Linked DNA regions of Tamandua tetradactyla. The protein of the gene in region 2 interacts with the protein of the main gene of each other region in a pairwise test. Links are inferred from orthologs where the notes say so. Each region holds a gene or a part of one and is shown on either strand. Other genes may lie near its edges.

What was found.
Region 1: the proteins of MIF4GD (region 2) and EIF3G interact in binary tests that used the Homo sapiens proteins (3 or more experiments, as listed by UniProt). The link is inferred for Tamandua tetradactyla from reciprocal best matches to the Homo sapiens genes MIF4GD and EIF3G.
Region 3: the proteins of MIF4GD (region 2) and ATP-dependent RNA helicase DDX19A interact in binary tests that used the Homo sapiens proteins (3 or more experiments, as listed by UniProt). The two-hybrid records come from large-scale screens. The link is inferred for Tamandua tetradactyla from reciprocal best matches to the Homo sapiens genes MIF4GD and DDX19A.
Region 4: the proteins of MIF4GD (region 2) and ATP-dependent RNA helicase DDX19B interact in binary tests that used the Homo sapiens proteins (3 or more experiments, as listed by UniProt). The link is inferred for Tamandua tetradactyla from reciprocal best matches to the Homo sapiens genes MIF4GD and DDX19B.

The regions. Positions count from the first base shown.
Region 1 is NC_135337.1:91,611,268-91,618,849, forward strand, and holds the start of EIF3G (eukaryotic translation initiation factor 3 subunit G), read left to right. Parts: upstream 1-4,174; 5' UTR 4,175-4,244; coding exon 4,245-4,264; intron 4,265-4,379; coding exon 4,380-4,426; intron 4,427-4,848; coding exon 4,849-4,932; intron 4,933-5,019; coding exon 5,020-5,108; intron 5,109-5,235; coding exon 5,236-5,295; intron 5,296-6,284; coding exon 6,285-6,389; intron 6,390-6,498; coding exon 6,499-6,688; intron 6,689-7,435; coding exon 7,436-7,543; intron 7,544-7,582. UniProt on the Homo sapiens protein: RNA-binding component of the eukaryotic translation initiation factor 3 (eIF-3) complex, which is required for several steps in the initiation of protein synthesis.
Region 2 is NC_135332.1:15,678,756-15,686,220, reverse strand, and holds the start of MIF4GD (MIF4G domain-containing protein), read left to right. Parts: upstream 1-4,243; 5' UTR 4,244-6,053; intron 6,054-6,240; exon of another isoform or gene 6,241-6,351; intron 6,352-6,358; exon of another isoform or gene 6,359-6,943; 5' UTR 6,944-7,011; coding exon 7,012-7,249; intron 7,250-7,465. Other genes in the region: SLC25A19 (mitochondrial thiamine pyrophosphate carrier), read left to right, coding at 1,127-1,310, 2,009-2,139, 3,715-3,897. UniProt on the Homo sapiens protein: Functions in replication-dependent translation of histone mRNAs which differ from other eukaryotic mRNAs in that they do not end with a poly-A tail but a stem-loop. May participate in circularizing those mRNAs specifically enhancing their translation.
Region 3 is NC_135342.1:68,590,775-68,599,276, forward strand, and holds the start of ATP-dependent RNA helicase DDX19A, read right to left. Parts: upstream 3,128-8,502; 5' UTR 3,009-3,127; coding exon 2,952-3,008; intron 1-2,951. UniProt on the Homo sapiens protein: ATP-dependent RNA helicase involved in mRNA export from the nucleus.
Region 4 is NC_135342.1:68,643,295-68,651,551, reverse strand, and holds the start of ATP-dependent RNA helicase DDX19B, read left to right. Parts: upstream 1-4,965; 5' UTR 4,966-5,005; coding exon 5,006-5,179; intron 5,180-7,869; exon of another isoform or gene 7,870-7,909; intron 7,910-8,257. UniProt on the Homo sapiens protein: ATP-dependent RNA helicase involved in mRNA export from the nucleus.

The DNA.
Region 1 (7,582 bases), on a different chromosome or scaffold from region 2:
ACCGTGGACTGCCCCGCCATGTTTAACTTCTTGAGAAACTGCCAAAGCATTTTCCACAGCTGCTGCACCATTTAGCATTCCCACCAACAATACAGGAGAGCTCCTATCTCTCCAGTTCTCACCAGCACTTGTTATTTTCCTTAAAAAACAACAACAACAACAAAAAAAAAAAACCAGCCTTCCTAGGGGGTGAAACGTATCATAACAGTTTTGGATTGTTTTTTAATGAAATAACTACTCAGGGCACCGTTGAAACTCCCTTTATATGCCTGCCAGGCCCCTGTCTGGCACTTTTTCAGACGCAAACAGTCTCAAGACATTTAGGGTGTCTCCTGGTCCTTGTCCTTTGACAGCTACTACATCTGCATGACCATGGCTGAGTATTATCTGTGTCTTTAAAAAATGCACAAATGATATTCTGCTGTACATATGCTCACCTTGCTTTTCTCCCTCAACCATGTTTGGAGTTTTCAAAGAAATGCAAACGACAGAAAAGCACAGCGGATCACACTACAACCTCAATGGTCCTTATCTGTTTCCACACTTCATTGCACGAGGAAGGCCCCTTTAACCACCCTATCATCCACTACAAGTGCTTATTGTCACGCAGATGTGTTCACACTCACGTTTCTGCCATCTCTGACCAAGAGCAGAAAACTTAAACAGTTTCATACAACCCTCGATTGGGCATCGACTGCCCCAGTCATGGTTCTGGGGCTGGGTGTGTGGCAATGAAAACAGACCAGAACTGCCGTCCTGGGCTCCCGAGCTGAGCAAATGTATGCAGTGGTGGCTGAGCGTGATACGTGCTACAAACAAGGAGGAGAAAATAGCGATGTTCTGTTCCAGATTCTCTTACTTGAGTGCACAGGTCTTATGTATGCAGCTGAAACATTTTTAGTTTTGCTTGTGTATTCACTCATGTAACCACCGTCCAGATTAAAACAGAAAATTCCCATCACCCCGGAAGGTTGCCAGCAGCTCCTCCAAAAATCACCCTGAACACCCCTTCCCCCATGTAATAGCGGTGCTAATATCTGTTATTATAGATTGATTTTGCCTGTTTCAGAACTCCACATAAGTGGAATCATTCCGTATATATTCTTTACTATTGTAACATGCATCCATGCAATCGTATGAAACAGTGGATTGTCCCTTTTTATAGCTGTATAGTATTCCACTGTAAGGATGGACCACTATTCATCTTGGCTGCTCCATCTATCAATTGCTGGATGTTTGAATTGTTTCTAGATTTTTGGCCATTGTAAATAAAGCTGCTAGGAATACTCCACGCATACTCTACATCTACATCGTGGCTTTTTATGGCCGCATCTTCCCATTTCTTAAGGAGAATTCCTCCAAGTGGAGTTCCATATTGTGATGTTAAGTTCTGGGGTCAATTTGGCCAAATGATGATTCCCAGCTGTCTGGTCAGGCGAGCACTGGCCTGGCCGTTGCTACAAGGATATTTCAGGGCTGGCTGCTAAACCAGAAGGCTGGTGTATTAAATCTTCCGTCAGTTGATTGAGTGTGTGGCTGATTATATCTGCGTTCAACTAAGGCCTGTCTCCCACCAGTGGGATAATCCAACCAGTTGAAGGCTCTTAAGAAAGAAGAGAGACTTTTTTCACTGCTTCTTCATCCAGTGAACCTCTCCTAATGGGAGTCCATCCAGACCCTTCATCAGAGCCGCCCGCTTCACAGCCTGCCTTGCGGATTTCAGACTCTTCCATTCCCACGGTTTCCTGAGAGACCTTTATAAATCCCATATTTACAGATATCTCCCATTGGTTCTGTTTCTCTAGAGAACCCTAGCTAATACACACGTCATTTGTCAGTTTTAGATAATCCCCTTTAAACTGCTGCAGGGTAGGCAGGGATGGCTCAGCACATGTTTTTTTTTTCATCTCCCTATTGATGGCTTCTTGGGGTTGGTTTTGTTGTCCAGAGCTGGACCCCTGGCAGGCTCCTGACGTAGGCACTCAGGAAAGTATACTCGAGAAGGGTTGGAGGAGAGGGGGCAGTTTTTGCCCCTCCACCGTTGGACTCGAGCTTTTCCCCACTGCTCTACACTGCCTTAGGCCCCCTTTTCTGTTTTCCCTCATAAGTATCTGACTTTTTGTAAAACATAATACATGCTCGATGTTGAAGAAAAAATATTCCACCCAGAAAGATTCCAAAAAAGGAGTAAAGACGAGATCAAATCAAAATACTCTCAAACACCAATATTTGGGTTTTAACGTCTTTCTCGGCAGCTCTGTTCATCCACAAATGTGCACAATTTTTCCTCCCAGGACAGTAACGGGTGGATGAGCCAACATTGAACTAATCTGCTGTTAATGATGGTTGGGTTGTTTGCAATTTTCTGGTCCTTTAAACCCTATTGTGCTGAACGCTGTTTTACACGAAACTTAAGACACCCGAATACGAATCTGTTAGGCCAGTCGTAGAAGTGGGAATGCAAGCTAGTGGATACACAAAAGAAATTAAAAATACACGTACGTGTTGCAGCTCATACAAATTACATAATACATAAAACATATAAAATGAATATTCTTGTATTTATGTATATAATTTTTAAATCAAAATAATGCAAACATGGAAAAAATTTAAAGTATAGCAGAAAAGTCCCCAAAAAAGTTTTCTGCCCCCGACGCATTTCTCCAAAGGCATCCTTTGGCAAGTTTCAGATATTTTCTTCCAGAAAATGGTTAGCATATAGCTGCATATCTATGTTCCAAGATTAACACAAATCAGATCATACATGCATTCTCCCCTGCCCTCATCCCTTATCCTGATGGTTGTTTTACATGAGTACAGATCATTCTACCCGTTAAAGACTGCACAGCATTTCACAGCTTTGTGGCTTAACACAAAGCTGATCTATTTAACCAGTCCTATTGGTGGCATTTCCTGTGTTTATCATGCACAGCACTGCACAGGCATCTTGTTCGCACATCTTGGCACACATTTAGAAGTTCACACATGGCTTCAATTATTAGCTGACTCAAAGGAAAATTCATGCATACATTTTAAGTTTTGAAAAGTGTTGCCAAACTCCCCTCTGAAGAGTTTGCATCATATCACCCCACCAACAATATGTGTGACCGTCTGTTTCTCAATCTTAACCACCACTGGGTAAAATCAAATTTTAAAAGTTTTGCCCACCTGTTAGGTTCTTTGGATTTTGCTTTTCTCAGGGGTAAATTTGAATAAGTTTGTACAAATAGCTACCGGCCCTTTGGACAAACCTTCTATCTTCTTCCATGTTGCCAGACTACCGTCCTGAAAGCCTGTGCTGATGGACCCCTCTTTCTTTGACTCTCTCACCCAAGTTCTTTTCTGGTCTCCTACTAATGTATTCCTTTCCTCCCCAACCCTTAACCTTCCAGAATAATATTTCTCACAGTAAAACCTGGTCCCGTCGGGCCTACCTGTTCAAAATGCTTCAGTGCCTTTGCCCACACCCCACAGCCCAAACAACGAGTCCAAACTAGTTAGTCTGGTTTAAAAAGTCCTTTGTGATCTGGCTCTCACCCCTCCCGAAAATGCCCATGAACTGGGCACTTCCTATGTAGACACATCTTATGGGTGCTGGGGACCCAGACGAGCACCTAGCAGCAAATGCCTGCTTTCCGTAGCTGACCTTCTGGAGCAGTGTTTCTCAGCTTTTTCCATCTCACTTCTAAGGAGAAAAAGTAACAAATTGAAGCTTTAAATCAATGAATTCGGTTTCAATTTCAACGACATTTAATTCCTCCCGCATGCAAGAAATCAAATCCTTCGGAATAAGAGTTTGTGCCACAGAGTTGGCTTGGGAGGGCCACAGACCATTGTCATATGTCAGGTTTTTTCCACCCTCTCCAAGAACCAATTTTCACCCCCTGCCCACTGAGGGGGCAGGGTCTAGAGGCAGAGATGGACCATCTCTAAGCCTCGGTGTCTTCAGCAGCAAGATGGAAATGATCACTTCCTCCTCAAGGTGCCCCTCACACGGCTCAATAAATGGGCTTTGGTACTATTAACATTTCTAATTTTATTAAAGTTAAAGTACATTTTATTAAAATTACTTAAAGATACAGGGGATGCGCAGCGTCCACAGTCGGCGCCTCCGCCTCCATCCGCAGGGGGCGCTGTAGGCGCCGTGGCCTGGCGCTCTAGGCGGCGGCGGAACCGGAAGTCTCGCTCTCCCCCACCTCCGCTCTCTGGCCCAGGCTCGGGCTGCGTGGGGAGAAGTTTGTGCGATGCCGACCGGAGATTTTGAGTGAGTCGGGGTCGCGGAGGGGGTCCCGGGAGGCGGTTGGGCGCTTCAGAGGAGTATTGCGGGGGGCCGGGCCTCGTTGATCCATCCTTCCGCTCCGCACACTTTGTCTCGGCAGTTCGAAGCCCAGCTGGGCCGACCAGGTCGAGGAGGAAGGAGAGGACGGTGAGAACCCCCAGTCGACCAGGGGCCCCGCGGCCTCCCCCGGCCCTGTCACAGCCTCTGGCTCCGGCCCCGCACCCTGCACCTCGCTCTAAGCCCGCATCTCCCATTACGGCCGGCTTTTGCCCAAGAGTCCTGGCAGCTGCTGCCCTGCTCGGGACAAGAGGCTGTAGTAGCCAGTTTCCTGCTTCTCTGCGAGCAATGAGTGGGGGAGGTGGGGATCTTCACGCCGCGGCGCTGAGGCTCGTCTTCCCTTGTCCCTGTCCCCACATTGCTCCCCAGGGAGTGTCTTAGCCAGCCCTCTGCCCGTGGTCCTGCCTTTCTCTGCTCCTGCTGTGGGCGTCGTTCCAAAGGTCCCTCCACTTCAGCTTGGGGACTCCAGCCCCTCCCCAGCTGACCTTCCCTCCCCACGCTCCCTCTTGCAGACAAATGTGTCACCAGCGAGCTCCTCAAGGGGATCCCGCTGACTCCCGGTGACACCAGCCCAGAACCTGAGCTCCTGCCAGGAGGTGAGTGCCCCTCCAGCACCTTTCCCATCCGGTCTGCGTTATCTAGGCAGGGTTCAGCTCTCCTCACCTTTTCCTCCTCTTTCTCAGCTCCACTGCCACCTCCCAAAGAGGTCATCACTGGAAACATCAAGACAGTGACCGAATACAAGATAGATGAGGATGGCAAGAAGTTCAAGGTGAGGCTGGCAGGAAGGGGTGGTACCCTTTTCCTTACAGCCCTCGGACCAGGAGCTGGGATGGGGCTGGTGGGAGAACTCTGACCCCAGGAGGGGCACAGGAAGCCTGACCCTCTCCCATTTGCAGATTGTCCGCACCTTCAGGATCGAGACCCGGAAGGCCTCAAAGGCTGTTGCAAGGAGGAAGGTGAGACACTCCTGCCCCCATCATTTGGGTTCCACAGGGACCGGAGTCCTTTTTTTTTTTTTCCCCCTCAGTGTTTGTTTCCAGAGGTGGGGTTTGCCTGTTTGTACCCATTTTGTTGAAGCAGAACAGAGGCCTAGGCATGTTTGCATCCTGTTGGGGCTTTGGAGAGTCCAGTGCACGAGTGGGTGGCGTTAGGTTTTTATTCCTCACGTCTTGTCTAATGGGAACAGAGCCAAACCCTCCTTGGAGGTAGTTTTGTGGCTCCCATTTACCCGGGGCCGAGTGCTCCAGGAAGAAGCAATGGTAGTAAATACCCTTGGCACAGTTTGCTGAGCAATTTCTCTGTACCAGATCCCGAGTCGTGTCCTTGCAGGGAGCGTTTTCTCATTTGATCCCCAAAGCAACTGTTTGTGGTTTCCCTTTTTTGGGGGGGTGGGGTGGGGGCAGGGCACACAGTCTGGGAATTGAATCCTGGTCTCCGGCATGGAAGGTAAGCATTCTACCACTGAACCACCCGTGCTCTCTGTAGTTCCCATTTTACAGGGAAGGATGCTAAGGCTCGGGGTAAGCAGCCCAAGGCCTTCACAGCCTGGGTGACCCTGTAGACCCCTACTTAGAACCACCCCTGAGCCTCGCTGCCTCCCTGATGGGGGCCAGGTTTGAGGACCACCACCCTATGTGGGCATGAGGCGTTGTCGGCTGTGCACCTCTTGACCTCTTGGCCCCTTGAGCCTCTGTTTTCTCATCTGGGACACAGACTTGAGAACTGCCCCAGCCCCCTGGAGCTGGTGGAGAGGCAGGGCTGGGGGCTCACTTGGGAAATGAGGACTGTCACTGTTACTGGGGAGTGGGGGGCATTCAGGGAGAGCAAGAACAGGGTTGAAGGCCCGACACCCCTGGGGCTGGCTGTGGGAGGTCTGAGGTGCCAGTGTGGGCCCCCACAGACCTGGTCCTGACCCCACTCCCACCCCGTCCTGCCCTGAGCTCAGAACTGGAAGAAGTTTGGGAACTCCGAGTTTGACCCCCCGGGGCCCAATGTGGCCACCACCACGGTGAGCGACGATGTCTCCATGACGTTCATCACCAGCAAAGAGGTACGTGGGAGGGGGTGCCAGGATGGGGCGGTGCCCAGGGTGGGGCGGGGAGGACACCGGCAGTGGGGCTATGGCCGTGCCCCTGAGCTTCCCTGCCCGCCCCTGCCAGGACCTGAACTGCCAGGAGGAGGAAGACCCGATGAACAAGCTCAAGGGCCAGAAGATCGTGTCCTGCCGCATATGCAAGGGCGACCACTGGACCACCCGCTGCCCCTACAAGGACACGCTGGGGCCCATGCAGAAGGAGCTGGCTGAACAGCTGGGCTTGTCCACGGGCGAGAAGGAGAAGCTGCCCGGAGGTGCCGGGCTTGGGGGTGCGGCTGGTGGGAGGGTGCCGTGTGGCATGTGGTGGGGCGGTGGGGGGAGTCCGGGTCTGGGAGCAGGGGGCACCTCCTCCTTGGCTGTCCTCTCCCCCGTGCCGCGTCAGCACTGCCAGGTTCCGGCTGCCATCCGTGTGTGTGCTGGGTGAGGGGCATGCTGGGCCTGCAGTGTCATGTCTCTCCCGTCAGGGGGGTCGGGAGCGGGGGTCGAGTGTGCTCCTGCACGCATGCGTGCTGCACTGTTGTCCTTGTGTGCGTGGGGTCTCATGGCTGTGATTCTGCTGGTGAATGGCGGCGTGAGTCTGTCTGCTACTGGCTGCAGCTCCCTCCCACCCCGCCGCCCATCCGCGGCCATGCACACGTGTGCACTCACATGTGCCTTCCAGTGTGGCTGTGCACGACTTGCTGAAGGGGATTCTGTGTCTGACTTGTGTGGGAGATGGACTTGTCCCTTGCCGTGTGAGGGCTGGGTGTCGTCCGTCCACTACCTGTGTGCATGTGTGCTTGCACCTGCTGTCCTCGTGGGCTTGTCCTCAGCTCTCAGCCCCTGTGGAGTTTTGCTCCACCAGTGCTCCCAGCTGGTTCGTACGTGCAAGGCGTCTACTGTCTGGATGGGACCCTGGTGTTGGCGCGGCCAGTGCAGCTCAGGGCCTTAGAAGGACCAACTGACCACCTGGGCCAGGGCCACCAGCCTCCTGTTCTGAGCCCTGTGCCTTTGGTCCCCAGAGCTGGAGCCTGTGCAGGCTGCCCAGAGCAAGACAGGGAAGTACGTGCCACCGAGCCTGCGGGACGGGGCCAGCCGCCGCGGGGAGTCCATGCAGCCCAACCGCAGAGGTGAGGGGCGGGGGGCGGGCACTTGGCCCTGTGATTACC
Region 2 (7,465 bases):
GACTTTCAACCCTGGATGTCATGCCCCACGTAGAGGGGAGAGTCATGATTTTCCTCGTAGGGTTGGACTTGGAGAGAGAAAGGCCACATGTGAGCATATGTGGTCTCCTTTTATGAAGCCTTTCCTCAAGTGTCTGATCATTGGTGCAATCCCAGAAAGCAGCAAGGGAGATTTGGGTGTATGGGCAGGCTCAGTGTCCAGTGGCCTTTCCTTAGGGGCCATCCCTTTCATGGTGCCCCTTGGGGCTGAATCCTTCAGTTAGACTGCAGCATTCTGGGAGCCAGGTGGGGGCGAAGGGTCAGGGTTTCTCCCTGTTGAGTTGCAGACCTGCCTTCAGTCACCCATCTTCAGTGAGGTCCTCACCACACCCTCAGCTAGGTGAAGCCAGAGCCCTTGTGGTCTATTTCAAATAATATATGCTTAATAGAAAGGTACAAAGATAACCAAATGCCCTGTGATCTTCTTGCGTAGATTTTGCCTATTGATGGTTAAGACAGGTTAAATATGTACATGTGGCAAAAATTTCAAACATAAAATGGTTTATAGTAAATCTCTTCCTTCCCTGCACATTTATCTGTGCAGAGATAATCAGCTATTCTTCATTTCCTGTGTATCCACTGAGGATAATCCCAGTGTCCACAAGCAGCCATGTCTGTAGATCTCTCTGCTTCCTCTACATACAATGTGCCCACTCTTCTGCATCTTGCTGATGTCATTAAACTATGTTTTGGGGATTATTTTATATCAGTCACGTAGGTCACTTCATCCTGTTTTAGCAGTTACCTCATGTTCAAGTGGGTGCACACTTGAACATAAAATGATAGGTTACATAAAATGATAGTTTATGTAACCTATCATTCAAAGATGGAGATGGCCTCTTTGTCTTCCACAGGCTGCTGCATGACTATCTTTGGATACGTCCTTTTGTGCACATGTGGGTCTCTCAGTCATGTAAATTCCTAGAAAGGGAGTTGCTGGAAAACCCTGTCCTTTAAATTTTTGTCCATTGTTTTCTTTCACTGTCCCCTTGGTCGAGTTTTTGGAGTTGGGGAAGCACATGTGATGGGTTGTGTTCTAGGGCTGAAGCTGCTGCCCTAGCTCACACTGCCTGTGTTTGTCTGTCCAGGTGTATAAAACCCTCCGAGACGCCGTGGTGACGATGTACAGGACTGAGGGCGCCTTGGTCTTCTACAAAGGCTTGAATCCCACCTTGATCGCCATCTTCCCCTACGCAGGGTTCCAGTTCTCATTTTACAGCTCTTTGAAGCATGCATACGAGTGGGCCATGCCAGCTGAAGGAAAGAAAAATGGTGAGACCTTCCTCAGGTGAAAGGGAATCTGTGTCTCCATTCCATCTCCACCCACAAGCTATAAAATCTCTTTCAGACTCACATAGGAAATACATTTTTCTTGTCAGGAGAAAACCACTGAAACACCACTCTTGTCAGGAGAAACACCACTGTTCTCTGTACCTGGCTTTGTAATGCAGCCAGTAAAACATACGAGCCCAGTGACCTGCAGGTGCCTTTTTTCTTATAGCTCTTGCCATATCCATCTTGGCCTCACCAGCATTCAGTTCCTAGGATTGGTCATGGTTTTCCTTTTGTAAGAGGTCCAATTTACAAATTGCCTGGATTTGTTTTTGTTTTTGTTTTAATTTGAGCAGATGGGGCAGGGCATGGGGGTCCTGTTCCCTCTCAAGTCTTAAACTTGTACCACCTTGCTGAGCATACAGGCCATTCCTTGCCTCTAGCTGGGGAGATTACTATGCAAAGGCTTACATCCTCCTGCCACCAGCCAGTCCGGTCTGCAGTCCCTTAGCATTCTTGCCAAAGGTGGTTATGTCGCGTTCACTCTTTTCTGGGTTAAACTCCTCTAATATCAAAGGGTGCTTGCTCAGGGGGTTTTGTTTATGGTACAGGATTAGACAGACCTGATGACCTTTAAGCTGTCTTCCAGAGATTACATTTCATTCCATTTTCCCCTCACTTCCACTTCTTTGGTTCAGGGAACCTCAAAAACCTGCTTTGTGGCAGTGGAGCTGGAGTTATCAGCAAGACCCTGACGTACCCTCTGGACCTCTTCAAGAAACGGCTGCAGGTCAGGGGCTTTGAGCAGGCCAGAGCTACCTTTGGCCAGGTGAGCCATCCCCCTGCAGACAACTCTGACCCTTGCTCCTCACTGGCCACAAGAAGGAGCCAAGGTCAACTCCTGCCTGGTTGTACAGTGTTAGCCACCATGGCCCTTTTACCTCCAGCCTGTCCTCAGGGACCCCCGAGCCCAGGGGAAAGCCACATGCAGAGCCCCATCTGATACGGTACTGTGGGAAGATCCAGGGGAAGAAAGATTCACAATCTCTGCCTTTAAAAAGTGTCTAGTCCAGTTTACAATATAGAATACACTCACCTAAGAAGGGTCCCCCAAATATTAAAGTGCTTGAAGAAACTCACACTAGTACATGGGGTGCCTTCCTTTATGCTGTAGGTGTTCTTTTATGCTGAAAAGGGGAAAATTAAATTTGAGCAACTAAATTATATTTCAGATACACGAAAAGGCTTTGCCATTTAGAGAAACCCTGGGTAGGTACATTTTGTAATGTTAATAGTCATGTCCTGCTCAGTGTGTTCATATTATCCTGTTCTGATTTTGTGAAAGACCACAGTGATGATCTGTGCCAGGTGGAGGAGGCAGCAGGGGTGGAAGTTAACCATGGGGGCATGAAAATACAGGCTGCCAGATGCCAGAGGAGGACAGCGTGAAATGAGAGGCAGGGAAGGGACAGTGCACTTCACTTGGGAAAGAGAAGAATTTGGGTTTATAATTGTGTTTAGGTTTTCACAGAAATAATATTTTCTTTGTAGAAAAATTTAGAAAGCTCAAATAAAAGGAAAGATAAAATCACCTATAACCTAACCACCACCCAGAGATAATCACACAGGACTTTTTGGTGTAGTAATTTTTTTATTTGCATAGATAAACACGTGTATGTTTTAACAGAAAGTGGGATTATACTGCATACAAGGTTTTGTAATCTTTTTACATTTACCAACTTGTCCTGAAAAGACAGTTTGAATTTGGACAGGGAAGAGGGTTAGAGAGAGAGAGGCCCCCACCTACTGGAGATAGTAAGAACAGACTTGGCTGGAGGTAGGCAGGGTCAGGACCAGGGGGAGGTGAAAGAGTAAGGTTGAGGTCAAATGGTAGAAGTCCTTGATGCTTTATGATGTCCTCATAGTTGTCAGGAGTTACTGAGGGTTTTGGGCCGGAGGGAGGCACAAAATGGGGCTCTACTTGGGGGCCACAGGACTGGCAAGCTCACTATGGAGTCAGCTGCCAGAGGTGAGACTGCAGCAGGGTGGGCAATATGGAAGGGGCAGCCCTGGCCAGGCTAAGGGGTAAAGAGGACCAGATTCAGACTTGTTGCCCAAGTGAGGCCAAGATGCCTCTAGGATGTGGGTCCGGAGCTATGGGCCTGTCCTCACCTGTCCCCATAAGAAGGAGCTCTGTCCAGGTGCTGATTCCCAGGCACTACACCAGTAAGTCTGGGTTACTCCACTGGATTACTCTCTTTACTTTTGCATTCATTCTTTCATCCAGCAAATATTTATTGAGAACTATGATGCACCAGCGGCTGTGTTGGCAGAATAATAGAGCTGGCTGTCCATACTTTAGTTGCCTCCTTGTCCTCAACCAGAGTGACCCTTCTCTCTCCAGGTACGGAGCTACTCGGGCCTCCTGGATTGTGCCACGCAGGTGCTGCGAGAGGAAGGTGCCCAGGGCTTCTTCAAGGGCCTTTCCCCCAGCCTTCTGAAGGCTGCTTTCTCCACAGGCCTGGTGTTCTTCTGGTATGAGCTCTTCTGTAACTTATTCCACTATCTGAAGAAGGCAGACAGCTAGCTTCGAGGGCAGGAAGGGCAACCTCCTGAAAGAAGGAAGACTTGGTCTCCAACCTGGTATCACACTGAGAGGTGCTGCCCGGCACCCCCTGCCAGCCTGGGGAATGAAGAGCCTTTAGGAGCAGGATGCAGCCTTAGTCCCCCCTGCTGGGACACCACCAGGACAGGGGCTTGCTGGGAGAAGGCAGGAATTGGTGTGTGGGCCGCAGTGATATAAAGCGCAGAAGAAGGTTGATGTTGTCATTTCTCCTCTTTTTAACCCACATTTGAAAGGAAATGGATACCATCCTATACTTCTTAGCCGCCTCTGCCAGGAGAACTCTCCTGGGTCTGAAAGGGGCTACAGTTCAAATACAGAGGAGGGGGGTTTAGGCTTTTTGCAGGGGTGTGTCCCCATACTTGGGCAGTTATTCCCACCAGTTTAATATACATTAAAGTTTAAGGCACATGCCTTATATTCCCCTCCATCTGTCCTGACAGATCACATGCCACATCCCTCTTCACAGAGTATTAGGGAAAGGATCTATAGCTCTGCTTCTAGTTCTGGGAGAAGAATCCACATTCGTCTCCTAGGTCTGCCTTAACAAATCATTACAATCTGAGGGACTTAAAACAACAGAAATTTATTCTCTCAGTCCTGGAGGCCAGAAACCTGAAATCAAGGTGTAGGCAGGGCTGGGCTCCCTCCAAAGGCTCTATGGAACAATACTTCGTTGCCGCCTCCAGCTTCTGGTATTTTCTGGCTGCCCCTGGCATTCTTTAGTCTGTTGCTGTGGCACTCGGGTTTCTGCTTCTGCCTGTACAGGAGCTTCTCCTCTGTGTGTCTTTGTGTGTCCTCTCCTTATATGGTCACCAGTCATCCCAGCCTGACTTCATTTTTTCTTTGCAGGTGACTATACCTGCAAAGACCCTGTTTTCAAATGAGGCCACAGTCTACAGTCCTAGGTGGATGTGAATTAGGGGGGGATTCTATTCAACCCATTCCACCCCCGCACTCCTGGATCCCTGTGTCTGGGGCCAGGACTGGTCATAGGCATGGGCCTTGGTGGGTTTTCAAGGGAAGCAGATAGCAGTGGCCTGGGAGGAAGTGGAAGGGGTGTGCCAGCATCCACACCCTCAAGGGGAACTCCATAGGGAGCCTGCTGGGTCTGCAGGGTGAGCTCTGAAGGTGGGAGCCAGGATGGGGAGCAGAGCTGATTTCCGCCTAGGACTTTGACCTGAGCCCTGGAGCCCTGGGTTGGGAACCTCTCCTTGCTCAGCTTTACTCTGGCAGCTACACTGCCTTGGAGTCGAGACTCCTGCTGGGAGCAGGCCTGGGGGTGGGTGTCGGGGCCTTTGACCCCATGGATGCAAGACCCCTTCTTTCACTGTTGTCCCTGTGCTGTCGTGCCTGGTCTGAGTCTGTGGTATGTCTGGTATCCTGAATGCTGAAGCTTCTGCTGCTCTTGGCTCCTGATTCTGGGGACCCAGGCTGCTGCTCAAGGCCCTTCTCATGACATGGGGCAGCAGGCAAACAGGCCTAGGTCATGGGTTGTAGGGAGGCAGGGACTTGAATGTATTTTTTTAAATGAAATTATAGGCAGTTGATTGAAGTAAAGTTTATTCTCATCTCTCCTGCTCCTTGGCTTTTTTGCTGCAGCTGAGATTTTGCAGCCGCATCCATTTCTCAGTGACCGCTTGGCCTTTTTAGACCATGAGAAACTGCCATCAGCACATCTGGTCTAAACTGATGGGAAAAGGAAGCAATTGTTTTCCACCCTTCAGGGTGCTCCTTGTGCAATCCACGGCAGACCTCAGGCTGCAGCCTTACTGAGGTCAGCCGGCCTCTCTTAGTCCTGGCCAAGGACAGCCCCTTTTAAACTTATTTTGTTTATTTTGTAGAAGAAGGGAATAATGGGATTCGATCCAGCCCTGCCAACTCCCGGCCTTCTCTACTTTGGGGGTGGGAGTGGGGCAATGTGGCTATCCCCTGTGAGGTCCCTGCCCATCCAGCCATCTCTGCCAAGCCTTTCGCAGGCTCCTCCTCCGCCATGCAGACTGGGCCTCAGACCTGATTAACCTGAGCCTTTGGAGTGGAGGGGAGAGGTGACCGGAGTGCCACTGAGGGCTTCACGCACACCAACGAGCCTGTCCAACCCGACGCCGACGAGCGGCGGGGTGAGAGGACAGGGCAGGGTGACCTCATCCTGGGGCAGGGTCGTTGTCCCGGATGTCCCGCGTGACAACCGGCTAGGCCCCACGCAAGGGGATCCTGCCCTCTGGCCTGGTGAGGTTGCGAGAGCGGGGCTCCGGCAGGTGGCGCTGGCGAGGCGGCCTCTGGCCCCGCCCCCGGGCCGGCGGCGCCGAGCTAGGAAATGACCTAAGCGGCGGCTCCCACGGCGCCGCGGACGCGGGGCGCGCGCACCCTGCCCACCGGGCAGTCCCCGGGCACGCGAAAGCTGCGCGGCCCCGGCAGGTGGGTCCCGGCCCTGTGCCGCCAGAAAAGGGCGTTTCGAGGCCCGGGAAGCCGCCGAGGTCTGGAGAGCCCTGAGGCGCGCCTCCTTTGGCCTCAGGGGAGGTGGCCACCAAGTCCAGCAGGGGATCCCAACGCGGGTTGTCTCTCGGGGACATAGCATCCCGGGCCCCCCCTTTAAGGGGCAGGACACAGGGTGGAGCTCAGGGAGTAGGAGTCCTGGGTGGAGGGTCCGGACGCTGCCACTCGGGAGGCCACTGCAGCCCGTGGGTCCCCGGGGAGAAGCGGGCCAGAGAAGGAGAGCTCAGGCGCTGGACGGTCGGGGGCGGCCGGGAAGGCTCTCTTGCATCCAGCCGTGCGGGCCGGCGACCCGAGGGGACTGCGGAGGACCCAGACTAAAGCCCCCAACCCCATCTCTTGCTGGGCCAGCAGCTTCCAGTCCCATTTATCCAGGCTGGACAAGTCTCGGATACACTCCTAGCTCCCCGCAGCCCTGAACCTCCCTTGGTATCACCTGGGAATAACCCTGCGTCCTGCCAGGACTGGAGGAGAGATGCCAGTCACCCTTCATCGCCATACTCTGTTGTAATCTCAGAAGCTTGCGGTTTCCTAAGATGAGCAGCAGGTGCCTGGCTGGTGCCCGACCCGGCAGGACGCCACTGAATGCCAGGGAGAGCTCAGTTGCATCAGCCTGAAGTCTGGCCAGCCCCACCCAAGTCCTGCTGGTTTGGGAGCTTTGCTCTCTCCCTTTGCTGCTCCTCTCTCCCAGGTGCTGTCGTTAGTCCCTCCCCAGTCAGGAGCTGCTGGGGTTGGATGGTCATGGGGGAACCCAGTAAAGAGGAGTATAAAATCCAGTCCTTTGATGCAGAGACCCAGCAGCTGCTGAAGACAGCACTCAAAGGTGAGCATGGTGAGCTCCTCCTGAGAAGGCGCTGGGGTAAAGTCAGGTCAGGACCAGGGCCCTGAGCCTAGGAGTGCAGCCTCTGTTTAGGGACCAGGGGAATGCTAGCCCTCTCGCTCTTCTTCCTCCTGTGAACCCATCAGCAACCAAACTTGTAATCTGAACAGCGTGCTACATTTAAGCCAATATTGGGGAATATGAATCTAGAATCACCCC
Region 3 (8,502 bases), on a different chromosome or scaffold from region 2:
CACCTAAATATCTCAAACAAGCTTTTATCTTTTTAGCCCTGAAACCCACACCCTTAATTAAAAGCAACACTTAAATAAATTAGTTTTCTTTCTTATCAACCACCTACATATAAATTAGTCAAAAGCTTGTTACCCTGAAAGTATTGATAAACTAAGTTCCTGATTTGAGAATCTTCCAAAAATGTAAACAAAATGGTTTTTCATCTACTCTTGGCCACTTCGTCAATACAAACTAAGCAGAACACTTAAACAGAATAATAATTCATATGTCTGCAAACAAGCCTCCAATGTCATGAGAATTATTTTCCTATACTGAAAGTGTTGGTAAGAATAATTGTGTGAACAAACAAACTCACTGTCTTCGTGGGACATGACTCCCAGAGGTGTGGACCTTCCTGGCAATGTGAGACAGAAATCCTAGAATGAGCTGGGACTCAGCATCTAGGAATTGAGAAAACTTTCTCAACTGAAAGGGGGAAGAGTGAAATGAGACAAAATAAAGTGTCAATGGCTGAGAGATTCCAAACAGATTCGAGAAGTTATCCTGGAGATTATTATTATTATGCATTATATAAATATCACCTTTTTGTTAAGGTGTAATGGAGAGGCTGGAGGGAACTGCTTGAAAATGTAGAGCTGTGTTCCAGCAGCCATGTTTCTTAAAGATGATCGTACAATGATATAGCTTTTGCAATGTGACTGTGATCGTAAAAATTGTGTGTCTGATGCTCCTTTTATCTACCTTATCAACAAACAAGTAAAACATATGGATTAAAAATAAATAAACAACAGGGGGAACAAATGTTAAAACAAATTTAGCAGAATGAAATGCTAGTGATCAATGAAAGGGAGGGGAAAGGTGTATGCTGTATATGAATTTTTTTCTGTTTTCTTTTTATTTTTCTGAATTGATGCAAATGTTCTAAGAAATGATCATGATGATGAATACACAACTATGTGATGATATTGTGAGTTACTGATTATATATGTAGAATGGAATGATCATATGGTAAGAATGTTTGTGTTTGTATGTTGCTATGTTAATAAAAAATAATAGCAATAATAATTCGTGATATTATAAAGGTTGTGCGGAATACCCAAATGAAGCCCTAGGCCCCAAGCTCTGCTCCCCACAAGAGCCTAGTTGACATAATTCATTATCCTTAAGAGCATCACTAATGTTCACTGAGGGCTTACTGTACTTTGTTAAATATGTTGCCTCCTCCAATCCCCCTCCCTGCAACCTGAGCTTGCTCTTGGCCTTTAGGAAAAGGAGGTCCACCCTCATACAGCAGAGTACTGATCTGATCTCTTAAGAAACCAGTTTTTAAAGATCAAAATCAGATTAACATACCTCCTTGGGGACAGATGCCTTTTCTCTCAAGCCAATGGGAAAGTTGGCACACACAAGACAAGGCATCTTTTAAAAGAACTTACCCATCAGCTAATCCTCATACTGCGGCTATCTGTATTATATCTATATATTGATCTATAGGGATCAATAGAAGCATATTACTCTTGCAACGTCTGAAAATGTGATTAAGACAGTCTGAAGCCCCATTCCAAACAAGCTGATTAGTCTTTGAGAAGTCTGACTGATGAAAAAGAACACTGTAACCGAATCTAACATATCGCAATCTGTATAATGTGTTAACAAAAGGCAACATGCTCAACAGCTGGAGAAAGAGATCCTAAGGGCAACAACTTGTCAGCATTTACTCAGCCATATTCAAGGAGGAATGTGCTGGCAGTCAAGTCCTCCTGTTTTGAGAGAGGTAACTTCAGCATGGGGAAGAGGCAGGCCAATCAGCACCCTATTTTTCTACACTCTGGATTCACCCTTTGCAGCAACCTTCTCATCATTAATCTAGTCTTTCACAAAAGGCAGTGTCTCTGACACTAGACACAGGTTTTCAGTCATGATAAAGGTATTTTCCCCCAACATAAGTAATAAAATAACTCCTGCCTGGGTGGCTAGCATTATGCGAGTTCCCAAGGCCCTGATTCACTGAAAGGTGACCTTGCAGACACTAAAAGGGACTTCATGGAGGACCTCAGGATCTCTATGACAGCTCTAATTTCAAAAAGGTCACAGGTTATATCTCTAAAGATTCTTAGGGTTTCTTTTTTTTTTTTTAATTTGCTAGTCTTGGAAAGAAAAGAAACTTAATTGGTGACATAGCCAGAGGAAGTAAAGGAAACATTGTGTCTGAAAATATGTCAGGGACAAATGAACTGGCATCAATCAGGTCCTTTCTATTTTTACTACTTCAATTCATATTTTTATTATCTTTCATTGGGACTCCCCAAATTGCATCCAACCCAGATTCCCAGATACATTATTCTCTCTCTCTTTCTTCCCTCCAGATCTATTTTTATATGCCAGAAAAGACTCTGAAAGTACAACTTTGACCACATAAGCTTGGAAACTTTCAAAGAGTAAACAGTACATGGAAATAAATGTTACTATAAACAACATCAATGAAAAAAATTGAAGTGCCTCCCAACCCCACCAACATCTACAGTAGGTTGAAACATATTTCTTCTGCGAAGAGCTACAAGCTGCCAATCATATTAGACCCAGTCATGGATCCAAGACATGCTAAAATATGAATTACCTAGGACACTGAAAACAGTTGCTTAATAGATAAAGAGAATCCGCGTTATATTTGCCTTTGCTTAAAACCGACCCTGAAAATACAGGTGCAATACAGGAAAGACAGGATACGTGGCAGGGAGAGATCTGCCACAAGATAAAATTATAATTGGCCCAAATGAAAATAAAAAATGGGATACTGGCCTCTTTAGTTTTAGACGCAAATAAGATTTAATCTCAGGGCGCATGTCCACAGGCCTACTCGCCCCGGGAGCACTTTCCCCCTGGGCTCGAACCTGGGTCCGCCTAAGCCGCTACTATATTCTCACCACCCTTTTGAGTTAAAGCAACTAACCGACTTGACTGCCGCTTCCTGTTCGTCCACAGCTAGGGCCCACGAGTCGGTGGCCATGGTCCTAAGGGCGGAAGGCAAACACGAGGGAATACACAAGGACCACACGTCAGCACCAGCCCTAAACCATCCGCGGGCCAGAAAACGTCTCTCACGCGGACCGGAAGCAGCAGCGCGATAAAGTGACGTCAGGCCCGAGAAGCCGCCATTCCCCGCCCGCGGCTAATCTCCGCCCTCCCTCCTCGCTTGAGAAACTCGTCATTTCCGCCGGATTTAGCGAGGCGCTTCCTCGTTGTACCTTGAAGTCCTATATCTCTGCTGAGTAAAACTCTTCTCTCACTTCTCTCTGAAGTTTTAGTTGTAAAACTACCACGTTTCATAGTAAATGTAGAGTCTCTGAACTGTGATGAAATTATCTAGAGGAAGCCCTGGGACCACTTCAGAGCTAAAAAATAAAAAAAAAACCAAACCATAAAAACCATGCCCTACAAAAGAATAAAACAAAACAAAAACCCAAAACCATGCCCTACTTACTCTTTGACCTCCTTCTTCAGTTTCCTTTTGATATCTTTTGAAACTTGAATCCCCACTAAGGGGACCCAGATAGCGATTCAAGCATCTAGTCTTTATATTTTACCCAATACAAAATAATGTCCACCTGCCCCAAACTGGTCCATATATACTTGAAAAGCCCCTGTCCAATCAATAAGAGTCAAGCTAACTTCCGTTTTGTATCTATAAAAAGGCCAAGAAGCTCCCAGCTGTTTTCACTTTTGCAGGTGAACTGACTGACTTGTTGCTGTAAAACTTTGGATGTCTAAAATAAAATGCTATAATCTGCACGCTCAATTCTGATTTGTGTTTTGACAACTGTAAAGCTTTATACAAAGGAAAGCTACATGAAACAGAATACCATATGATGCTAGTTTCTACTCTTAGAAGTGATAACACATAAGAAAAAATGGAAAACACACACACACCACTTCATCCCCACAATCCCATCATTTCTATAAACACACGAACAGCATTTTTTTCCTTCTGGGTTCTTCCAGTTTTTGTCCATATGCAACATAGCAGGGGTATTTTACACAGTCCCCCAAAAAGTATACATACAATTTTAAATTTAACATTATAAGACTACGTGGTTTCTCATGTCATTATTAACCATTTAGTTGCTTCTGATAAATATTTTTGTCTCTCCTTGAAAGCATATGAAGTCTTCAAAAAGAGCAAAGATCTCATCTGTCTTGGTCACTGCTAATTAGTAAACCCGGGAAAGTGCCTGGCACATACAATATTTATCCTTTTGAGTCAATAAATATTAATTTATTATTATATTAGCTTTTTATATAGCAATAAATAGCTTTTTATTTAAGATGTATTACTCCAGAATAAGTTTCTATACAGTGGAAGAATGTGTCAAAATAAATGCATAACTTGAACACACTTCAAAAATGAGAATATGTCAATAAGTACATGAAAAGGTGTTAAAACCATTAGTTATTGGGGAAAAGTAAACCAAAGTCGCAGTGAGATACCACTACACACCACTAGAATAGCTAAAATTAAATATTTACATGCCAGGTGTTGAGAAGCAGGTGGAGCAACTGGAACTCTCATAAACTTCTAGAGGGAGTGTAAAATAGCACAAGTTTTGTAGAACTGTGTGGCAATTTCTCAAGATGTTAAACATGTACCTACTGTATGACCCATCAATTTTATTCCAAGAGAAATGAAAAGATATGTCCACAAAGAGACCTGTACACAAATGTTTGTAACAACTTTAGTCATAATAACCCAAAACTGAAAACAACCCAAAATGTCCATCAACAGGAGAATGGATAAACAAATTGAAGTATATTTGTCCGATGGAATACTACTCAGCAATAAAAAAGAACTACTGATAACACATGATGAAACAGATGAATTTTACAGACATTATGCTACAGATAACAGACATGAGATAAATTCTGTCTAATTTTATTTATATGAGGTTCAAGAATGAGTAAAACAAAATCTATAGTAATTTCAGAACACTGGTTGCCTCTGGATGGGGTTAAGGTTGTGTTTTGGGTTGCTAAAGCTGGTGGACTGCAATACACCAGAAATGGAATGGCTTTTATAAAGGAAATTTATTACATTATGAGTTTATAGTGCTAAGGCCATAAAAATGTCCAAACTAAGGCATCCCGGAAAAGACACCTTGACTCAAGCTAGGTCGATGTCTGTCACACAGGAAAGCACATGGCTGGCATCTGCTGATTTCTTGTTTCTGCTCTGTTGCTTCCAGCTTCTGATCCCAGAGGTCTCCTCTCTAAGTGTTTATGGGCCTTCAAGTAGCTCCTCTGGGACATAACTCTGTGTTCTGGCTTGCTTAGCAACTCATGAGAAGGTACATGGCGATGTCTGCTGGGCTCTGCCCATGTCTAGGTGTCTGCTCTCTCTATTGGTGCTCCAAGCATCTCCAAACATCTGTGTTACTGTCAGTTCTGAATCAAGTGTTCTCCAAGCATCTGCAACTGAGGTTTCTTCAAAATGTTTCCCCTTTTAAAGGATTCTAGTAAATTAATCAAAACCCACCTTGAATGGGTGGAGTCACATATCCATCTCATCAAAAGGCCACACCCACAACTACATGTGTCACATCTCCATGGAAACAATTCAGAGTTTCCCACCCTAAGCAATAGGTCTGGCTCCACAAGATTGGATCAGGATTCAAACATGACTTTTCTGGGGTACATAACAGTTTCAAACCAGCACAGGTGGATAGGACATAAGGGAACTTCCTGGGAAGATGGAAATGTTTTATATCTTGAATTGGGGTCCTGGTTTCATATAACATTTGTCAAAATACGTTATCGGTTTTAACAGTATTAACTGTATCTTTAACATGTCGCTTTATAGTATGTAAATTATACCTCTCAATGAAGTTGATTAAAAAGCAAAAGAGGAATGAACTACTGCTACACTCAACAACATGGATGAGTGATTCGCAATCTCAAAGACATTAGGTTTGAGTGAAAGAATACAGACACAAAAAGAGTACACAGTGCATGACTCCATTTGTAAAAGTTCAAAATAGGTATTTCTAATCTATAGCAACAGAAATCAGAACGATGGTTGCCAGGGCATGGGCTGAAGTGGGTAGGATTGATTTTGAAAAGGAGCACAAGTGAACTTTCTGGAGTGACGAAAATGTTCAAACCTTGATTGGGGTGGTTGTTACTCAGGTGATGCAATGATCAAAACTCATGGAATTGTACACCTAATATCTGTGTATTGTGCTTAATATAATGTATATGTCAATTAAAAATAAGACAATTGCTTTAGTTTCCTGGCTGCTAAAAGAAATACCATACAATCAGTTGGCTCAAAATCAGAAATCTGACTCATGATGTCAGAAGCTAGAAGGCTTGTTTCCTCTCGGGTTCGATATCTTCTGGCTGGCCGACAATCGCTGGAGTTGTTGGCTATACTGTCACATAGACACACATGTGGCAGTGTATTCTTTCTCTTCAGGGTTCTGTTAACTTCCAGCTTCCGGCTGCTCCCTGTGGCTTCTCTTTTTTTTTTTTTTTTCTCGTTGACCTTCAAATTTTATTGTCACTAGATTGTATTTGTTGAAGGGAAGGGATCCTGAATGAATGAATGGATCTATGATATTTTGTTCATCTCTCAAACAAAATTGGGAAAAAGGTTCACATTGTTATTCCATCCAGGATCTGTATCTGATTCAGAGGAAGCCAACCACTGCTGCTGGGGGATGCTATCCTCCAGGACAATGGCAGGATATGGGCATGGAGGGAACCATGGTGGGTTCGGGGTCCAGTGTGCCCAACCTGGCATCTTCTGGTTCTTCTTGGGGCCTGAGGATTGTGCAGGTTTGGAGTTTGAACACGGAAGGTGGAACACTGGCCATGTTCTCATGGGGACCACCTGTGGGCTTCTTTGGTTTCTGAGTGTCTTCCTTCTTTACTTCCTGGGAGTTTCTAGTTGTTTCAGGTTGAAGGTTTGGTTCCTCCATTTTGACCTCTGTGTTTCCTCTGGAGACGTTTTTCTCTTCAGCCATAGGGTCTAATCCAGGGTGTGCAGAGCAGGCCCTTATTCCTGTGCTGTGGGGATTCAGGTAAGAATGGAGGCCCCAAGTATGGAAATAAGTCCTCTTCTTACTGCTGCCTGGAATGCTGTGGCTTCTCTTTTTACGTCCAATTTCATTTGTTTATAGTGATTTCAGCCATATTGGATCAAGGCCCACCTTCATTCAGTTTGGGCATACCTTAACCAATAACATCTTCAAAGGTCCAATCTACAATGGCTTCACATTCTAGGCCCAAGGTTGGGATCTGACTGACCTTTTGTGGTGGACATGATTTAATCCCCAACAACAATGTAATGAAAAACAAAACCAAAGCTTAAAAAAAGTACAGGTGGTAATAAATTCATTTGTACTGTGAAAAAAAAAGAGGGGAGGGGGTAAGAACGTTTTCTCAGCTCCTAACAACTCATCAAAACAGAGGACCTGCATATATAGACACACACGCACAGCTGCTGAAGGATATCAAATGATATCTTGTCTTTGCATATGACAAGTCTAATTCCTAGCATCCTCACCACCAATATGCTACTGCCTTAAGATTACATACTTATCAGGACACAGTGCCATGTTCTCACTCTACATCAGACAACAATCCTGTGGAGATGGCTAATTGGCTTCCTGGGTAGAATGATGGTCCTCTGGTCCTTATTAGCTGTATTAGTTAGGGTTCTCTAGAGAAACAGAATCAACAGGGAACACTTGCAAATATAAAATTTATGAAAGTGTCTCACATGACCGTAGGAATGCAGAGTCCACGTGACCGTAGGAATGCAGAGTCCAAAATCCACAGGGCAGGCTGCAAAGCCGATGACTCCAATGGATGGCCTGGATGAACTCCACAGGAGAGGCTCACCAGCCAAAGCAGGAATGCAACCTGTCTCCTCTGAGTCCTCCTTAAAAGGCTTCCCATGATTGGATTTAGCATCACTAATTGCAGAAGACACTTCCCTTTGGCTGATTACAAATGGAATCAGCTGTGGATGTAGCTGACGTGATCATGACCTAATCCTATGAAATGTCCTCATTGCAACAGACAGGCCAGCGCTTGCCCAATCAGATGAACAGGTACCACAACTTGGCCAAGTTGACACCTGTCCCTAACCATGACATCAGCCTAATCATCCCTTTTCAAAAAAAACTAAATTTCTGAGGCACCTCTCACCTTTTCTTGTCTCAAACACCTACATCCCAAAGCTTCTCATCAAAAGCAAAAGCAGCAACACCAGAATCTCTCACAACTGTGAATCCTATGGGGCAGGAGTCCCTGTTAAGAGCAGAACTTGAAGTGTGCATGCCCGTAGCTCTCTTTTGATTGCTACTTCCTTATGAAGCATGACTGCTCTGGGATTGAGGGGCTGACTCCTGTAGTGCTTCCACCAAAACAATTCCTAGAGCTAAACTTGGTCTCTGGGGGAATTAGGGTAGGATTTTTGCATGCACTGGATTTGTAGGGCATTT
Region 4 (8,257 bases), on a different chromosome or scaffold from region 2:
AAAATCTGTGATGGTGAAATGGTAGCCCATGACAGACTCTGGGATCTCTCCTATAACTATGTGTTGGCGAGCACTTTGAAAATTATTGCTTCTTTCTTTCTATACTTTGTATATATGTTATATTATACAATTTAAAAAGTTAAAAAAAGAAATAAAAAAGATCTGGTCCTAGATACCAACTCTCCCATGACACCTAAGCTACTTTTAGCATCTGTAAAATGGGCTTAGGATATTTATTTTTTCGTTCGCTAACAGGTCAAATGGAGGTGGGTGAATAGTTGCTTTGGGAGCCTCCAAAGGAAGCCTTCACTGAGCATACCATTATCATTTGTCATCTACAATGGTGCTTTTTAAACTGTAAGGTGCCTTAGGGATCACCTGGAAATCTTAAAATGCAGATTCTGATTTAGTGAATGTGGGTGGGGTAGGGACGAAGAGTCTGTATTACTAATGGGCTCCCAGGTGATAGCTATGCTTGATGTCCTGCCAGGAGGGGGGGGGGAATCATTTAACAATAGCTAGGGAGTACTCAAGGATGAGCCTATGTGTTCATATGTAAATATTTATAAATTTGGTCCACTCAGGGTGTATGTGTGTGTGAATTCTTCATTTTATTCACCAATAATTATTCACCAATAAATATCTATTAAGCGTTGGTCCCTGAGAATCAAAATTAAGGAAAGGCGATGCTGCCCGGCGGTCACAAAGCCCCGAATCTAGTGTGCAAGCCAAACATTTTCAAAAGATGACAAAGTTACGCAAAGACGCCAGCTGGGGCCAGTCTTTTGCCCCAAGGTACCCAAGCGCGCTTGTTCAAAGGCTGTACTGTTCCCTCAGCTGATTGGCTGGCAGGTCAGGCTTGCAGGCCTCAGCCAATGAGGTTCGAGCCCAGACAGTGTGGCCAGTGGTGTTGGAGTGTAACCGCCATAGCGATGGCGGGTGCTGCTGGCCACGTGAGAGGCTGGGCCCTGGGAGGGTTTGCACTTCCTCTGCCCGTGGGCGATGTGAGTATCCCTGAGGGCAGAAAGCTTTTTTTTTTTTTTTTTTCAGACTTAGGCATCCTCCTCGACCCCAACTTTTGGGTGAGGGCAGAAATAATAATAATAGCTAACTAATATTTATTGAACTTTTGCCATATGCCTGGCGCTGGGCCAAAAGCCTTAACTGTGTGGTGTCGCTGAATCTTTGAGCTCTGGAGGTGGGTACATAACTGCGTGTTCATAGGAAACTGAGGCTGCGCGAGGTCACATGGAAGTAAGTGCAGGAGGCTGAATCAAATCTAGATGATCGTAATTCCCCTCGCACCACTCACTCCACACCCCACTTTGGAAACCAGGTTCTTTCTCAGCAGGAGACTCATGTTGTGCCGGTATGTTCGGGATGGACGTAGGAGAATCTAGAATCTTGATGCTTGTTCTATGTATTGTTGTTTGTTTAGTAGAGAAAAAGAACACATGGAAAAGGCAAGCAAGAGAATAAGCACCAAATTCAGGATAGTTGTTATATCTTATGATGTGTATAGAGGGGGCTTCAGTTGACTCTTAGTTTACTTTCTTAAGTCCTGTCATGGGAACCTACATGTTTATCATTCCCTTTCTTGTTGATCTGGAATACTTTTAATTTTAAAAGGAAAACATGCACGTGAAAAAAAAATTGAGGATGAAGTGTACACTAGGGAAAGGAAGTCTTCTCCCATCTGTCTTTTAGAGCCTCCCACCAAAGCAGCCAGTTATCATTTTGTGTGTGTTTATCTATGCATTGTCTATTTTATATGCCAGCATATGTGAGTTTTTCTTGTTTTCTGCACAGATAGGGCCTACTATATATAGTCTTGCCCGTTGATGATTTAATTTTAAACCTCATTAAACTTTTTTTGAAAATTCCTTAACTTCCTTTAGTCCTGTGAAGCAGTGTCATTTCTCTGGCAAAGTATTCCCACGGGTTGCTTCTGAGTTGTGATAGGATAAGATGTAGGTGATGGTTCCCAGGCTGTCTGCCATTTTTTGTACATCCTCGCCTGCAGAGTCCAAAAAAAAACACTTCCCCAGATTACCCCCCCTAAATGATGCAGGAGAAAAAAGCAATTATGGCAAGTAGAGTATTCTCTGGAACTGCTTTACCTTTCCTCAAGACGTTTTTACTCAAACCCTACAGGTAAATTCCACATAGAGCCCCACTATTAATTTGAAATTGACTTATAGTGGAATATTGGCGAAGTGAGAAAAGCTGGGATTGATTTTCTCATGTTACAGTAACGTGCCCGGGTTCTTTCTAGTGAAGTAATAAGGAGAAAGAAGCTTGTTTGATTTCAGTTAGGGAAAAGCAGGTGTCCTGGCCTGCAGGGGCCTTTCTAGCCAATTGACTGGAAAGCACTAGGCATGGAATGGGACATGAACTTTATTATAGTAATTTAATTACAGGAGTGAAAGAAAGAAGTCAGTCTGGAAATCAAGCTCTTCTATACCAGCAGCCGGTATAGAGCTCAAGGTGAAAGTGTTTCACAATTAAGTGGGAATTAGCAGGACCAGTTATAGGGGCCCAAGACAAAGACAGCAGAGAGGACTCAGTGAAAAAGATTATAGGGAAACATGATTATCAGAAGGGAGGGTAAGGTACAAATTAACATTTTACACAGAGAGGGGGCTGGGTTCTTGAGTACATTGATCAACTGCACATTCTTCCTTTGTAAAGAGGTTAGCTGAAACATTAACAGACCCAGGCCGTGCAAGCAGCTGCGTGCTTTAGAGTGTCACAGACACTCAGGGAATGGCTCTGCCCCTGGGCTTCCACGGCAAGGGTCGCTCAATCCTTCTACCTCTTCTAAAAACTCATGTTATCACAAGTAGTGTGGACAACCAAAGCTATAGGCTGAGCCCCCAGTCTTGGGGTTTGTTCATATGAAACTTAACTCTGCAAAGGATAGGTCAAGCCTACTTAAAATTAGGCCTAAGAGTCACCCCCAAGAGAGCCTCTTTTGTTGCTCAGATGTGGCCTCTCTCTCCAGCCAACACAACAAGCAAACTCACCACCCTCCCCCTCTCTACGTGGGACATGACTCCCAGAGGTGTGGACCTTCCTGGCAACGTGGGACAGAAATCCTAGAATGAGCTGAGACAGCATCAAGGGATTGAGAAAAACCCTTCTCACCCCCAAAAGGGGGATGAGTGAAATGAGACAAAGTGTCAGTGGCTGAGAGATTCCAAACAGAGTCGAGAGGTTATCCTGGAGGTTATTCTTATGCATCAAGTAGATGTCATCTTGTTATTCAAGATGTAATGGAGCAGCTGGAGGGAACTGCCTGAAAATGTAGAGCTGTGTTCCAGTAGCCATGTTTCTTGATGATGACTGAATAATGATACAGCTTTCACAATGTGACTGTGTGATTGTGAAAACCTTGTGTCTGACGCTCCTTTTATCTACCTTGTCAACAGATGAGTAGAACATACGGAATAAAAATAAATAATAGGGAGAACAAATGCTAAAATAAATTTAGTTTAAATGCTAGTGATCAATGAAAGCAAGGGGTAAGGGGTATGGTAGGTACAATCTTTTTTTTTTTCTTTCCTGTGTTCATTTTATTTCTTTTTCTATTGTCTTTTTATTTCTTTTTCTGAATTAATGCAAATGTTCTAAGAAATGATGAATATGCAACTAAGTGATGATATTGTGATTTACTGATTATGTATGTTGTTTCTTTATTTTTTTAATTAATAAATAAATTTTCAAAAAAGAAACCAGATATTTATAATCCATATTAGATGTGATGATGGGATTACAAATAAAAAAAATTTAGTTTGAAATGCTAGTGATCAATGAAAGGGAGGGGTAAGGGGTATGGTATGTATAAATTTTTTTTTCTGTTTTCGTTTTATTTCTTTCTCTGAATAGATGCAAATGTTCTAAGAAATGATCATGATGATGAATATGCAACTATGTGATAATATTGTGAATTACTGATTGTATATGTAGAACAGAATGATCAAAATATAGGAATATTTGCATTTGTATTGTGTTTTTCGGTATTTAAAAAAATAAAATAAAGTAAATTAAAAAAAAATGATCATGGTGATGAACAAACTACTATGTGATGATATTTTGAGCCACTGATTGTACACCATATATGGAATGTTTGTATGTTAAGGATGTTTGTTTTTGTATGTTGTTTTGGTTTGTCAATAAAAAAAAGAACATTCAAAACGGTAAATAAATAACATAATATTAAAAAAAAAAACTCGAATTACTTCTTTTAAAAAATTCCCTCAGTCACACAGCCCTTAAGTAGGAGAATAGGGATTCTAACCTAGGCACAGCTCACTCCTTTGCCTGTTAAGGTGCCCTACCTTTTCTTCCACCTCATACCTGCCTCTTCATCCCTTTCTCTGGTCAATGCCCGCCTCCCCTGCCCTCTGTCCTCCCTAGTGTCTGTGCAGTTCTACAAATCCACCACTCTTTGTTATGTCTTATCCTCTTCCGGGCCATTTTTTCCCTTGCACCTTCCTGGAGTATTTTTAAAGATTAAATTCCTATAAGTGGTGTTGCCACATTGTGGGACAAATACTTACCAAGTGGTATTTGAGAGAACTGATTCCTAATAATTCTGGTCAACACAAGGACCTTTTAAATTACCCGCCTGAAAAGTGGAAATAATATCTACTTGTTTCAGCATGCATTTTGGTGGCTGTCTGCAATGGTTGTTTTCTGTTTTACTACATTCAGTTTCTCTGAGTATCTTCTATGCCACTGTGCTGGGCCGGAATATGGTTTTATTCTTTGGATAGACAACCAGTCGTTTCTATCCAAAGCTTGGGAGCTTGGGAACTTTTAGATAGCTATTTCAGGCCGCGGTTCTGGACTTTTGATAGGAAAGCTTGAGCTGCGCAAGGGAAAAGAGTGCCGGCCTGGAGGGGACACAATCGACAGCCCTGAAGGGGCGAGAGACTGCCTAACCGGCGCGGACCTTGACGTCACCGCAAAGCGCTGCTTCCTGTTCCCAGCCCCTTGGCGAATGACTTCCCCTGCTACGGGGTTGAAGCCTGACTTACCAGGATCCCCCGGAACCCACGATCGCGCCGTGCCATCCTGCGAGTCCGCCAGGGCAGGGGTCCCACCCGCCCCTGGGACTATGGCCACCGACTCCTGGGCCCTGGCAGTGGACCAGCAGGAGGCAGCGGCTGAGTCGGTGAGTTGGCTTCAGTAGTAAAGGAGTCAGGGGCCAGTTCTGGACGGGGATTTAATCCCCCAGGGAGTAGAATAGGGATGGAGCCTGGACCCTAAAATGACTTTGTTTACCTATCCGTACTGGAATAAGGATTGATTGTAGATTGTACTCACCGCCCCCTCCCCCCGCCCTGGATTGCAGTTACCTTTGTATATGTCATCCTCCACCTCCACATTCTGAGATTCTTAGGGTCAGAGACCATGACTTACTCAAATTATTGTGTCCCCTCAGTTTGCTCAGTGATGATGCATTATTGACTCAGTAGGTCTGGTAGTCAGTAAATCCTCTTCTGATCCACTTAACTTTGTTCGATTTTCTGATTCTGACACACAGTAAGCAGAATATGTCAGGTATTACTGTATAGATTTCACTTCTCCAGGCTGAGTAACCTAAGTTCTGATAGTGCTTTGAACTAACTTCTGTTAGTCCTGTTTTCTGTGACTTCCTCCAGAATAAGGGCCTTGTCTTATTTTTTATAACATAAAAAATGTTATACATGCACAAAGTTTAAAGAGTCAGATAGTTTTATAAACAGTGGTTCCCACCACCACCGATTTTCCATCCTCCCCCCCCCCCCAGAGGAGAGGCAACTACTTTTTTCTCTTGAAACTGATTGACAGTATCTACCACCTTTTTCTCTGAATAACATGCTTGTTTTGTAACTTTCTTGAGTTTTCAGTTTTCAGTATTTATTGATTTGGGCTCTTTTTCTTCCATCCTTCCTCCCTGACCACACATATATACTCTCCCATTCTCCATCTTTTCAATGTATTATATTGAAATTTTAGTTAGAGCATCGTTAGATCAAGAGGCACTTGCCTTTAGCCTCTCTAATACACCTTAAACTCAAAAGGGGATATCTATAAAATGCGTAAGAATAACCTCCAGGATAACCTCTTGACTCTGTTTGAAATCTCTCAGCCACTGACACTTTATTTTGTCTCGTTTCTCTCTTCCCCCTTTCAGCCAAGAAGGTTTTCTCAGCCCCTTGATGCTGAGTCCCAGCTCATTATAGGATTTCTGTCCCATGTTGCCAGGGAAGTTTACACCCCGGGAGTCATGTCCCATGTAGAGAGGGGAAGGGCCGTGAGTTTGCTTGAAATGTTGGCTGAAAGAGAGGCCACATCTGAGCAACAAAAGAGGTTCTCTGGGGGTGACTCTTAGGCCTAGTTTTAAGTAGACTTAGTCTATCCTTTGCAGGGATATGTTTCATATGAACAAACCCCAAGATTGGGGTGGGGGGGTGGGGCTTGGCCTCTTGGTTTGGTTGTCCCCACTACTTGCAAGAATATTGAGAATTCTCCAAATGGGGAAGTTGAATTTTCCCCCTTTCTTGCCATTCCCCCAAGGGGACTTTGCAAATACTTCTTTATTCACTATTCAAATCGATCTTCTATCTTTCTTTCTGGTTTCATTTGTGCCCCAGGTCTCCTCCTTCTATCATTCTCACATTCAGCTTCATTAGGTGTTCTAACATTATTGTACTACAATTAGGTAGTATTGTGCTGTCCATTTCTGAATTTTTACAGTCAGTCCTGTTGCACAGTCTGTATCCCTTCAGCTCCAATTACCCAAAATCGACCCTATTTCTATCTCCTGATAGCCTCTGTTAACTCAAATTCTCCAAGTTCATTCATTAATGTTAGTTCAAATCAGTGAGACCATACAGTATTTGTCCTTTTGATTCTGGCTAATCTCACTCAGCATAATGTCCTCAAGGTCTATCCATGTTGTTACATGCTTCATGACTTTATTCTGTCTTACAGCTGCATAATATTCCATCGTATTTGTATATCACAGCTTATTTAGCCACTTGTCTGTTGATGGACATTTGGGCTGTTTCCATCTCTTGGCAACTGTAAATAATGCTGCTATAAACATTGGTGTGCAAATATCCGTTTGTGTTCTTGCCCTCATGTCCTCTGAGTAGATACCTAGCAATGGTATTGTTGGATCATATGGCAACTCTGTACTTAGCTTCCTGAGGAACCACCACACTGTCTTCACAGCAGTTGTACTATTTGACATTCCTACCAATCGTGAATAAGTGTACCTCTTTCTCCACATCCTCTCCAGCACTTGTCATTTCTGTTTTTTTTTGATAATGGCCATTCTAGTGGGTGTGAGATAATATCTCATTGTGGTTTTGATTTGCATTTCCCTGATAGCCAGGGAAGTTGAGCATCTTTTCATGTGCTTTTTAGCCGTTCGTATTTCCCCTTTTGAGAAGTGTCTGTTCATGTCTTTTGCCCATTTTATAATTGGGTTATTGTGTTTTTGTTGTTGAGTTAAACAATCTCTGTATATATTCTGGATACTAGACCCTTATTTGATATATCATTTCCAAATATTATCTCCCATTGTGTAGGCTGTCTTTTTACTTTCTTGACATAGTTTTTTGATGCACAAAAGTGTTTAATTTTGAGGAGTTCCCATTTATCTATGTCTTTCTTCAATGCTCGTGCTTTGGGTGTAAGATCTAGAAAACCACCTCCTATTAAAAGGTTTATAAGATATCTCCCTACATTTTCTTCTAAAAATTTTTATGGTCTTAGATCTAATGTTTAAGTCTTTGATCCATTGTGAGTTAATTTTTGTATAGGGTGTGAGATATGGATCTTCTTTCATTCTTTTACGTGTGGATATCCAGTTCTCCAAGCACCATTTATTGAAGAGACTGTTCTGTCCCAGGTGAGTTGGCTTGACTGCCTTATCAAAGATCAGTTGACCAGGGTGTGCTACGGTGGCTCAGCTTGCAGAGTTCTCGCCTGCCATGCTGGAGACCAGGTTGGATTCCTGGTGCCTGCCCATGTAAAAAAAAAAACCAAAACAATTGTCCATAGGTGAAAGGGTCTTTATCTGAACACTCTATTCTATTCCGTTGGTCAGTATATCTATCTTTATGCCAGTACCATGCTGTTTTGACCACTGTAGTTTCATAATACGCCTTAAAAGTCAGGTAGTATGAGACTTCTGACTTCATTTTTCTTTCTCAGTATATTTTTAGCTATTCAGAGCACCCTGCCTTTCCAGATAAAT